Linked DNA regions of Xenopus tropicalis. The protein of the gene in region 2 interacts with the protein of the main gene of each other region in a pairwise test. Links are inferred from orthologs where the notes say so. Each region holds a gene or a part of one and is shown on either strand. Other genes may lie near its edges.

Region 1 (4,484 bases), on a different chromosome or scaffold from region 2:
ATAAGTGCCATTCCCTATCCTGTTTCCCTATCTAATAATGAACTACAACTCCCACAATCCTCTAACAGAGTCATTCAAGGGCCGTGTCCCACCCTCTGCTTTTCTGATGGGAAGTGGCCCCTGGGCTGCACGTAGCTGCCTGTAACCCTGGTTTCACCGCCCTCGAGCTTTCAACGCTTCGTTGACCCCAAGGAAACAGCTGTGGGTTTGAGGTGCCCGGGGCGCCAAATTGAAATGAGTGTGCAGCCTGGCGCTACCCAAAATAGCCGTATTCATAGTGAGAGGGGATTTACTAAATATGGGCTCGAGCCGTGACACCGAGCTGTGAGGTTTGTCCTGTGGCTCTGCTGTCAGGTGTGCGGAGTCGCGTCTAGCAGCTGTTCCTTCCCTTCCTACCTGTGTCCTATCAGTCACCCAGAGCATTCCTTCTCTGTATATTTGTATTTATACATATGGGTAGGGGGTGCCATAGTGTTTCCCTTAGACAGTACAGTATGGGGGTACAGCTTATTGTGTGCCCAGAACATTCCTTCTCTGTATATTTGTATTTATACATATGGGTAGGGGGTGCCATAGTGTTTCCCTTAGACAGTACAGTATGGGGGTACAGCTTATTGTGTGCCCAGAACATTCCTTCTCTGTGTATTTGTATTTATACATATGGGTAGGGGGTGCCATAGTGTTTCCCTTAGACAGTACAGTATGGGGGTACAGCTTATTGTGTGCCCAGAACATTCCTTCCCTGTATATTTGTATTTATACATATGGGTAGGGGGTGCCATAGTGTTTCCCTTAGACAGTACAGTATGGGGGTACAGCTTATTGTGTGCCCAGAACATTCCCTCTCTGTATATTTGTATTTATACATATGGGTAGGGGGTGCCATAGTGTTTCCCTTAGACAGTATGGGGGTACAGCTTATTGTGTGCCCAGAACATTCCCTCTCTGTATATTTGTATTTATACATATGGGTAGGAGGTGCCATAGTGTTTCCCTTAGACAGTACAGTATGGGGGTACAGCTTATTGTGTGCCCAGAACATTCCTTCTCTGTATATTTGTATTTATACATATGGGTAGGGGGTGCCATAGTGTTTCCCTTAGACAGTACAGTATGGGGGTACAGCTTATTGTGTGCCCAGAACATTCCTTCTCTGTATATTTGTATTTATACATATGGGTAGGGGGTGCCATAGTGTTTCCCTTAGACAGTACAGTATGGGGGTACAGCTTATTGTGTGCCCAGAACATTCCTTCTCTGTATATTTGTATTTATACATATGGGTAGGGGAGCCATAGTGTTTCCCTTAGACAGTACAGTATGGGGGTACAGCTTATTGTGTGCCCAGAACATTCCCTCTCTGTATATTTGTATTTATACATATGGGTAGGGGGTGCCATAGTGTTTCCCTTAGACAGTACAGTATGGGGGTACAGCTTATTGTGTGCCCAGAACATTCCCTCTCTGTATATTTGTATTTATACATATGGGAGGGAGGTGCCATAGTGTTTCCCTTAGACAGTACAGTATGGGGGTACAGCTTATTGTGTGCCCAGAACATTCCTTCTCTGTATATTTGTATTTATACATGTGGGTCAGACAGTCTGTAGGTTCTGGAGGCGGCTCACACAGTACCAGAGGCCGTGGGTGTGTTTGGGTGGGTAGGAATGCTCCGTGGATCAGACGCCTGACAGACTGGCTCTGCTGCCACGTGACTAGATATTATTATAGGATACGTGGTGCTTGGGGGTTAATGGGGCAACATGATAATGGATTGTCTGTTTTCCAGAATAAATCCAATTTTTCCACTTTAGCAGCTTTTATTGCCCGGCTTGGATACCACTATATATAGATTATTGCCCCCTGGGGGTGGGAGAGATTTGCCCCCTGTGCCCCAGTGTAACTGCTCTCCTCACACAGTATTTAGTATTATTGCCATTTCCACTCTTGGGGGGCTGCACTGCGCACCCCTCTCTATACTGTATATTCACTACATTCTTTGCAGATGATTTCAAGCCGGCGTCCATTGATACTTCCTGTGAGGGGAACCTGGAGGCGGGGAAAGGGGAACAGGTGACCATCACTCTGCCCAACATTGAGGTGAGTGTGACCAACTGGAAACTACAACTCCCAGAGTTCCCTGCCAGCCGTGGCACTAAATAACTTTATATTTGTCCTTTCAGGGTTCCACCACCCCAGTCACTGTGTTCAAAGGCTCCAAAAGGCCGTACCTAAGGGAATGTATCCTGATTGTGAATCACGACACCGGGGAGTGCCGGCTGGAGAAATTGAGCAGCAATATTAGTGTCAAAAAGACCAGGTACTGACACAAGCCCGATTCAGCAGGAACAGCCCCCTAAGTTTGCTCACAGCCTGTACAGAGAGATACCATAAAACTAATGCACATAGGGATTCCCCTGTACTAAGCACAATTCAGCAGGAACAGCCCCCTAAGTTTGCTCACAGCCTGTACAGAGAGATACCATAAAACTAATGCACATAGGGATTCCCCTGTACTAAGCACAATTCAGCAGGAACAGCCCCCTAAGTTTGCTCACAGCCTGTACAGAGAGATACCATAAAACTATGGCACATAGGGATTCCCCTGTACTAAGCACAATTCAGCAGGAACAGCCCCCTTAGTTTGCGCATAACCTGTACAGAGAGATACCATAAAACTATGGCACATAGGGATTCCCCTGTACTAAGCACAATTCAGCAGGAACAGCCCCCTAAGTTTGCTCATAGCCTGTACAGAGAGATACCATAAAACTATGGCACATAGGGATTCCCCTGTACTAAGCACAATTCAGCAGGAACTGTACTTAAAGGGAATATTTGCCCTCCTGCAGGGGTAGTACATAATGGCACTTTGTTATTCTCAGGGCTGAAGGAAGCAGCAAGATCCAGTCCCGCTTGGAGCAGCAACAGCAGCAAATGCGCAACGCCAGCAAAACACCCAACAGCGCCAAAAACTCTTCCTCGCCCATGGAGAAAATGTCTCCGGCATCCCCAATGGATGATATAGAGAGGGGTAAGTGGTACCGTAAGCTGACCATTCACCAGGGTCGCTGGCTGGGAGTTCAGGAGAAATGAGAGAACACATAGAGGGTTTGGCTGCACTCAATAGGCCATGTGGTGCTATGACCAGCAGGTGGCGCTATGCTATTTGGCTGCCAGTGACTTTTTCTATTCTCCCGCAGAACTGATGGCGGAAGCCAGCGTTATCGACCAAATGAGCAGTTCGGACAGTTCTTCGGAGTCCAAAAGCTCCTCCTCCAGCGACGACAGCTCCAGCGACTCTGAGGACGAGCGAAACAAGTCGTCCCACTCCAAGCAGCCGCTGCAGCGGCACAACTCGGGCTCCAGCGTAGAGAGCGTGCATAGGTCTCAGGACAACGGGGGGCAGATGATGAGTACTTTGCGTAAGTGCACTTACCCCCCCTCCTGTAGGACCTACTGTAACTGGCATCTAGAGAGCCATATCAAGGGCCAATACCTGCTAGATTGGTTTTCTGTTATTCAGCAGCTCTCCAATTTGGAATTTCAGCAGCTATCTGGTTGCTAGGGTCTTGTTTACCTTAGCAACCAAGCAGTGGTTTGAATGAGAGACTGGAATATGAATAGCGGAGGTGATGAATATAACAATAAGGAATAAAAAGTAACAATGATAAAACTGACGGCTCCAGGGCAATAGGTTTTGGCTGCCGGGGTCAGTGACCCCCATTTGAAAGCTGCAAAGAGACAGAAGAGGAAGGCAAATAAGTGAATAATAATAATAAACTGCAATGCTGCTAGGAATAGGGCATTCTATAACATACTAAAAGTTAACGTAAAGGGTTCAAACTGGTTGCTAGGGTCCAGTTTAACCTAGCAACCAGACAGTGGTTTGAAAGAGAGCCAGAAATATGAATAGAGGAGGGGCTGAATAGAAAGATAAGTAATAAAAAGTAACAATAACAATAAAACTGGAGCCTCACAGAGCAATAGGGTTTGGCTGCCGGGGTCAGTGACCCCCATTTGAAAGCTGGAGAGAGACAAAAAATTAAAAAAGGCGGATCATTAGGGGGTCTGTATGTTTTTAACATGGATTTTTGAATAACATTTGTAGATATGCCCTTTAATCGGATGCCCCGCCTCTGTGTTTGTGCATGACCACGCCTCCTTTTTGCACAGTTGCCCCTCCCATAGGGTGTTTATTAGCCTGTGCTCAGTCTCGGCGGGGGGGGGCAGATTATCAGTTTGCGGCAGTCTCTGGGCAAAGATAGCGACGCCTCCCCTGCCTTTCTTATGTATCTATAGGAGCAAAGGCTCCGCCCACAGCATCCAACTGTCACATTAGTCTGTGGGTTCTGGCAGGGTCCGTAAGTGTCGGCCAAATTACTGGTGCCGGCCAAAATGTTGTCTAGGGTAAATTGGACCCTAGCAACCAGCTGCTGAAAAACTAAAAAGCACCAAAGGCAGATTGTGTGCATCATACTATC
Region 2 (6,051 bases):
GGCTTTAAAGTTATTGGTAAATGTAATTACATTTTCAAATAACTGAATTTTCTTTCATTAAGCAAAAACAGGCTTTGCGTAGACACTTCCTGTCTCCCATTTATCTTATTTATTTTTTTCCAGTTATTTATATAGCGCTACAGATTTCTGCAGCACTTTACAGAGATTATCATTTACATCAGTCCTTTCCCCAGAAGAGCTTACAATCTAAGGTCCCTATTGCATTCACACACACCATGGTCAATTTAACAAGAAGCCAATGAAGCTGCCTGTATGTTTTTGGAGTGTTGGAGGAAGCACTGAATCCAGGATTCGGTTTGGGAATTGGCCAAGATTCGGGACTTTTTCTGCAGGATTCGTCCAAATCCATGCCTCTGGCCGAATTGAATCAAAATCCTTAAAATCACGTGACTTTTTGTTACATAAACACAGAAGTTGAACATTTTTCACTTTCTCTTTAGTCCTTCCTTATCCTAATTCGGATTTGGTTCAGTATTCGGCCAAATCTTTCGCAAAGAATTCGCGGTTTCGCAAGACTCGGTGCATCCATAGAGGAAAGTGGAGTATCCAGAGGAAACCCACACAGACATGGGGAGAAAATACAAACTCCTTGTAGACAATTTAGATTGTAAGCTCTAAGGGGCAGGGACCTCCATCTTTGTGTTTCTTGGCCACTTCGCTCTGGGCAATCTTTAATGCAACTTTACTTTGTATTTATTACTATACTTTGTATTTATTTGTATCATTTATTGTTATGACCTACTGTTTGTTCTATCAATCTATTGGTCTGCTGTGCAGTGCTGCATACAAGTAGTGCTATATAAAGAAAAATATACATACATACAAGTGAGTTGCCTCACTTAGACCATTGTATAATCCATAGAAATGCGTCACAACGCTCAGAGAGCAGCCCAATGGTACCTGCTCTTTATGAAGGGGACTGAGAGAAGAAGGAGATGCACTGTTTTCCTGTGTCACGCTGGGTTGGAGGCGGTGCAATCCTTTGATAGGCCAATTACAAATGGAAACAATACTCCAGCCTATGGAAGGATTGTGCTGCCCCTGACCCAGCATGATGGACACAACTGCAGAGGATCCTTTTGCTGTGTTGGAGTGTCACTCAGGTAAGTACCGCTCAGCTTGAGGATTTTTCACTAGTTATATTTTTATGCTGAAACTTTTTAGTAATACTGACACTTTCATATGGATTTTCATAGGAATGTGTCAGTGCCCCTTTAACGACACAGCAAATGGAGATCATGAGCCAGATTATCTATTTTGAGCTACCAGTCTCTGGTGTAGATTCATTTATAAATTACTGGAACAATGTTTATATTAAAATTAATTTTCCAAAAGTGACACAAAGAGTAAATGGTAGAAACTTCTCTGGTATTTTCTAAGAATTTCTTGGGTATGTATGCAATGATGTGAAAGCACTTGGTGCACATTCCTTGAGCGGGTGGAAAAATGGTGACTTCCTGTATTAGCACCAACATTAGAAATATTAAACCTACAGTGTCTGCTAATGTTTAACTAAATGTTTCATTACTGCATAAGCAACAGAGTTAATCATTTACTTCTGTCAGCAATCAGAGCAGCTGCCCCTATATGAAAGAATGGTTTACAGTGTTAATTAAAATTGTGCTGTGTCTGTAACAACCTACATTAAACCAGGTAAACTGAGATTCAGAAGTTGTGTTACTGCATTTATGAGAGGTTTAAACAAAAGAATTGATTATAATTCAGTACATTAGCCAAGCTGGTAATGCTTCCTGAAAACTGCTGTTTTGCTACTATTCTGATCTGACTGATTTCAGTTCTATTGGCATCCATGGACTAGTGTGATTGCATGCATTCCCCCTTGTACTGTTGCACTAAATTTACACAATGATGCATATTGGGAAGAACAAACTTTCCACACACCCCTGTGGTGCAATCCAGCTCAATGCTAATAATATTCTGTATATATATATATATATATATATATATATATATATATATATATATATATATACTCAGAGATCATTCAAATCCTGATTGTGAATTCAATTTTTCAGTTGCCCAAAGAGGCCAAGCAGCCCCCCACCGGCCCAACAAATAGTGATAGTCTATGGAATCTGGTATTTGCCAGAATCCAAAGATTGCCAGCGGACCTGGTGCTGTCGGGTATCAAATCCATTCCTTACTTTTTTCCACAGTGAAATTGGACCCTGTCATCCCCTGAATATCAAAGGCCTATATACAATCTGGAATTTAAACCTAAGGTTATGCCTGTAAGTTGTAAAACAAATAAACACTTTATCTTGTGTATAGTTATTAAAGATACTGCCACAGGAGAATACAGTTTGAAATAATTACACATTTTGCATCAACCCTCTTGTCTGGCAGTTCAGCGAAGAATTACATCACTGCCAACAAGGAGCTACATGGTGATTATGATCTCAGTGGCTTGTGTTCTGTTCAACCTCAGCTTCTGTTATTAAGCAGTCAAAGTAATTGGTCTTTTATCTTTTCAGTTCATATCGTCATATTTTAAATGAAGTAAAGTTTATACTAGGCAGTGGTTTGAATGTGTGCATTAACAAAAAAAGAAACATAACTTGTTAAAGTATGGCCAAAAAAAAGGAAACATGCACACATGAAAACAAATGCAAAACTTAAAAAAAGAAATAATATTGCAACCAAATGCAAGAGTGAAGAAAGGCAGAATAAAAAAAACTTACAATAAAATATATATAAGAATAACTGCAAAATGAGTTGGATTACTAGTATATAAGGGTGTGTGTTTACTTGGATTAAATCTTTCACCTTCAAATGTATATTGGCCTTTTTATGAGCCTGGCCCAATTGTGTAAGCACATAAAAGGTATGTGTAGGAATATCAGTAAGTGGAATTGCCCTGGCACATGACACAGCCGCAGGAGCCTGTACAAAGCTGCTCTGACCTGCCCTGAACTCTGCAGGCTGCCCACCCCCAGCTTGTCACTGGCAGCAGTCAGGGAAGCACTAGCAGCAGACGGCAAATGGAGAGATCACTCTCCACTTCCATGTTCATGGCCTTCACCCTTCTGTCTGTTTCCTGAGAATACGTTGCAGCCTCCTGGAGCCAAGCTGCACAGACGCCACATTATTTACGTGTCAGAGAATAATAAAACACCTGCTATTATCTATTGCCCTTTACACACCTTAAAAATCCAGTAAGAATAATTCATGGATATACACCTGTTACTGAAAGGCGGAGGTGCCTAACATGTGACCCTCCAGTTATTGTTGAACTACAACTCTCAAAAATTGTCTAACTATAGGGCCACAGGTTGGACATTTTGAGAATATAATGTAGCATTCCCTCATCCTATGATAATCCCAAGTGAACCCATGTCCAAAATATACAAGCAGGTTCCCTGCAGCTTTTGTCCATTGCAGCCCTATTAATACATCTGCCACTGGCATTACTGATGTGCATATTTTCTAGTTGTTTGTCTCATATGCTCCTGACAACTGCCACTCTCCCCATCCTCCCCCCATGCCAATGATTACACTGTCACTGCCATGGGAAGGCATATTTAGCCACACTGCCAGTGCCACTATAAAGGGGCATCAGCCTTGTCTATTCTATAGCTCCTTACCTTGATTCACCAGTTTAAAGCTCTGGGATTTCCTGCTCCTCTTCCTCTCTGAGAACTCCATGCTTTCCTTTTTATTCTGGCAAGAGGTGCCTCTGATGGTGGCTTTTTGTTATTTTTGTTGTTGGCAGAAAGGAGGAGGAAGAGACTGAGGAGCAGAGGGAGAAAAAAAAGATCAGAGAGATTAAGACAGTGAAGAGGAAGGGGAGGGGGGAAATAAAAGAAAATGGGAAATCAAGCACTAGTCACACACAGGGAGGACCAAGGTCCGTCTCTTTAATCTGCAACACTGCTGCCTTTCAGCTCCAACTGCAGGGCTTGATGGCAAAGTTTTATTTTTCAGTTTCCAGGAGAGAGGTGCGGGAGGTTAAAATGCAAAGGATTCAGATTATAAATCCCTGGGTGGTAGCGAGAGCCAGGCATCACTTTCCCCCCACCCCCTGGTATCCAGATGTCCCTTAGGTAATGCATCCGAGGGGTCCCCAGAGCACCGGGAGCAGGAGACAGGGCCCTCTGAGTATGCGATCGCTCTTCTCCTTCCTCCTTTTTTATTGCTGTCAATGATAAACAGGGAAGAGAATTATTTGTGTAAAGGAGAACTCATGCCACCTGCTGGCAGTAGTTTAGTATTACAAGCAGGTAGAATGGAGCCGTGTGACCCTACACTGGCTGGCAAGCACAAAAAGAGAGCGTCTACAGTTTGTTATGCCTACAGTTACTACTTATGGGAGACACTCCAACAAAATCGATCGCTAGGAAAAAAAGTTTAGACGCTTCATAGGCCTTTCAGTATAGGTCAGATAAGATAATAAAAACCACACAAGTTACTAGGGTTGATACATTGTTTTCAAAATAGTGCATACACCTTATATCCCATATATCAACTATACAATACAAACTAATTACATTAAAAAAATATATATATATGTATATATATATATAAAAATTAACAAGCATCCCTCTCTTGCAGGTCTTTATGTCAAAACAAATGTGTTTGTTATTGAAAATCCAATGTTTCTGCCAATAAACTGACCTTCCTCAGGAAAAAGGAGAGTCTTGTCCCTGAGGAAGGTTACTCTATGTGACCAAAATGATTCAATAAAAACTTTTTTTATGTTAAGACCTGCAAGTGCGGTGTACTTTGTTAATTTGTTCACAATTCCTAACCAGCGCCCAGGCAATTGATTTGCATAGGTGTGCTCTTGTTTGTCTTTATATATATACACAAGAACAAAGAGGAGCACTATCCTTAACTGTAAGGCCAACTGTCCCAGGTGCAAGTTAAGAGAACTATAGAGAAAATTTTTGTAAATAAAACACACTCTTGTTTGAGGAGTTCCTGTGAGTGCGGTACATTTTCTCTTTATAGTTCTCTTTATGTATTGCATATAAAACATATTGATAAAGGTTCTAGACCAGAACCAAACCATTAATGTAAAGATGCTTTTTTGAATAAACTTTAGAAATAGAATACAACGGAGTGCGCATCAATTCTGCTGTTGTATGTATAAATATATATATATATATATATATAGTCTATAAAAAATCGGCACTCACCACATCATAGACATTCGCCGGGTGCTGACCAAAAAATACAAAGCACATATATAGAAAGCACTCACGACAGCAAGTCATCAGGATGACGATCCTGTTGGGATCAAAATGTGTAGATGCGGTGATTGAATAAACGGACTGTTTCTATATTTACTGCCGTGAGTGCTTTCTATATACATGCTTTATATATATATATATATATATATATATATATATATATATAGTAATATAATAAAGGGATTTTTAAAGCACAAAAAAGCCTGGAATGCTGGGAAATTTTTGTATGTTATTTTCCTTATGCAAGAGGTAACCACGCACAATAACTAATTGAAAGGTGGTAGTGCTGTTCTCAATTAGATATATATATCTTTTATATTCAAATGGTAAAAAAAGGTGCTCTTTATTTAATACTCTGAATTTAAATTGAATGCCACTATAAGTGAATAATATGTCAACATTAAAATAGTCCCATGCCGATTGCTATAAGTATATAAGAATATACTAGGCATTGCTACCTAAATAGCTGGCAGAAGGCGGACTCATTTCATACACCTTTTTCTAAAGACTTGAAAGTGTAAAAGATCAATTAAGTTTTTATGTATACAGCCTGCATAATGCAATTTTTTCCAAAGCAAAACAATCCAATCAATCTTCTTGACCATCTCAGTGATAAATAATTAATAAACTCCTTGTTTAACAATGACAGGTGAAGATGAACATAAAAGCAGCCAAGAACATGCAGCATTTAATTCAGTTCATAGCATAACCCGGCCACTACACCGGTCAGCCCTTCTGGTCCGCCTTTAGTGCTGATTCTCAAAACCTCAGAAATTAAAATAAAGAGATCACATCAACAATTTCATTTGTCAACCAT

Evidence for each region. The genes of interacting proteins can lie anywhere in the genome.
Region 1: the proteins of bend7 (region 2) and eaf2 interact in binary tests that used the Homo sapiens proteins (3 or more experiments, as listed by UniProt). The two-hybrid records come from large-scale screens. The link is inferred for Xenopus tropicalis from reciprocal best matches to the Homo sapiens genes BEND7 and EAF2.

The regions. Positions count from the first base shown.
Region 1 is NC_030685.2:88,582,613-88,587,096, forward strand, and holds part of eaf2 (ELL-associated factor 2), read left to right. Parts: intron 1-2,005; coding exon 2,006-2,100; intron 2,101-2,183; coding exon 2,184-2,320; intron 2,321-2,885; coding exon 2,886-3,034; intron 3,035-3,203; coding exon 3,204-3,425; intron 3,426-4,484. UniProt on the Homo sapiens protein: Acts as a transcriptional transactivator of TCEA1 elongation activity. Acts as a transcriptional transactivator of ELL and ELL2 elongation activities. Potent inducer of apoptosis in prostatic and non-prostatic cell lines.
Region 2 is NC_030679.2:81,727,822-81,733,872, reverse strand, and holds the start of bend7 (BEN domain-containing protein 7), read right to left. Parts: upstream 4,171-6,051; 5' UTR 3,688-4,170; coding exon 3,627-3,687; intron 1-3,626.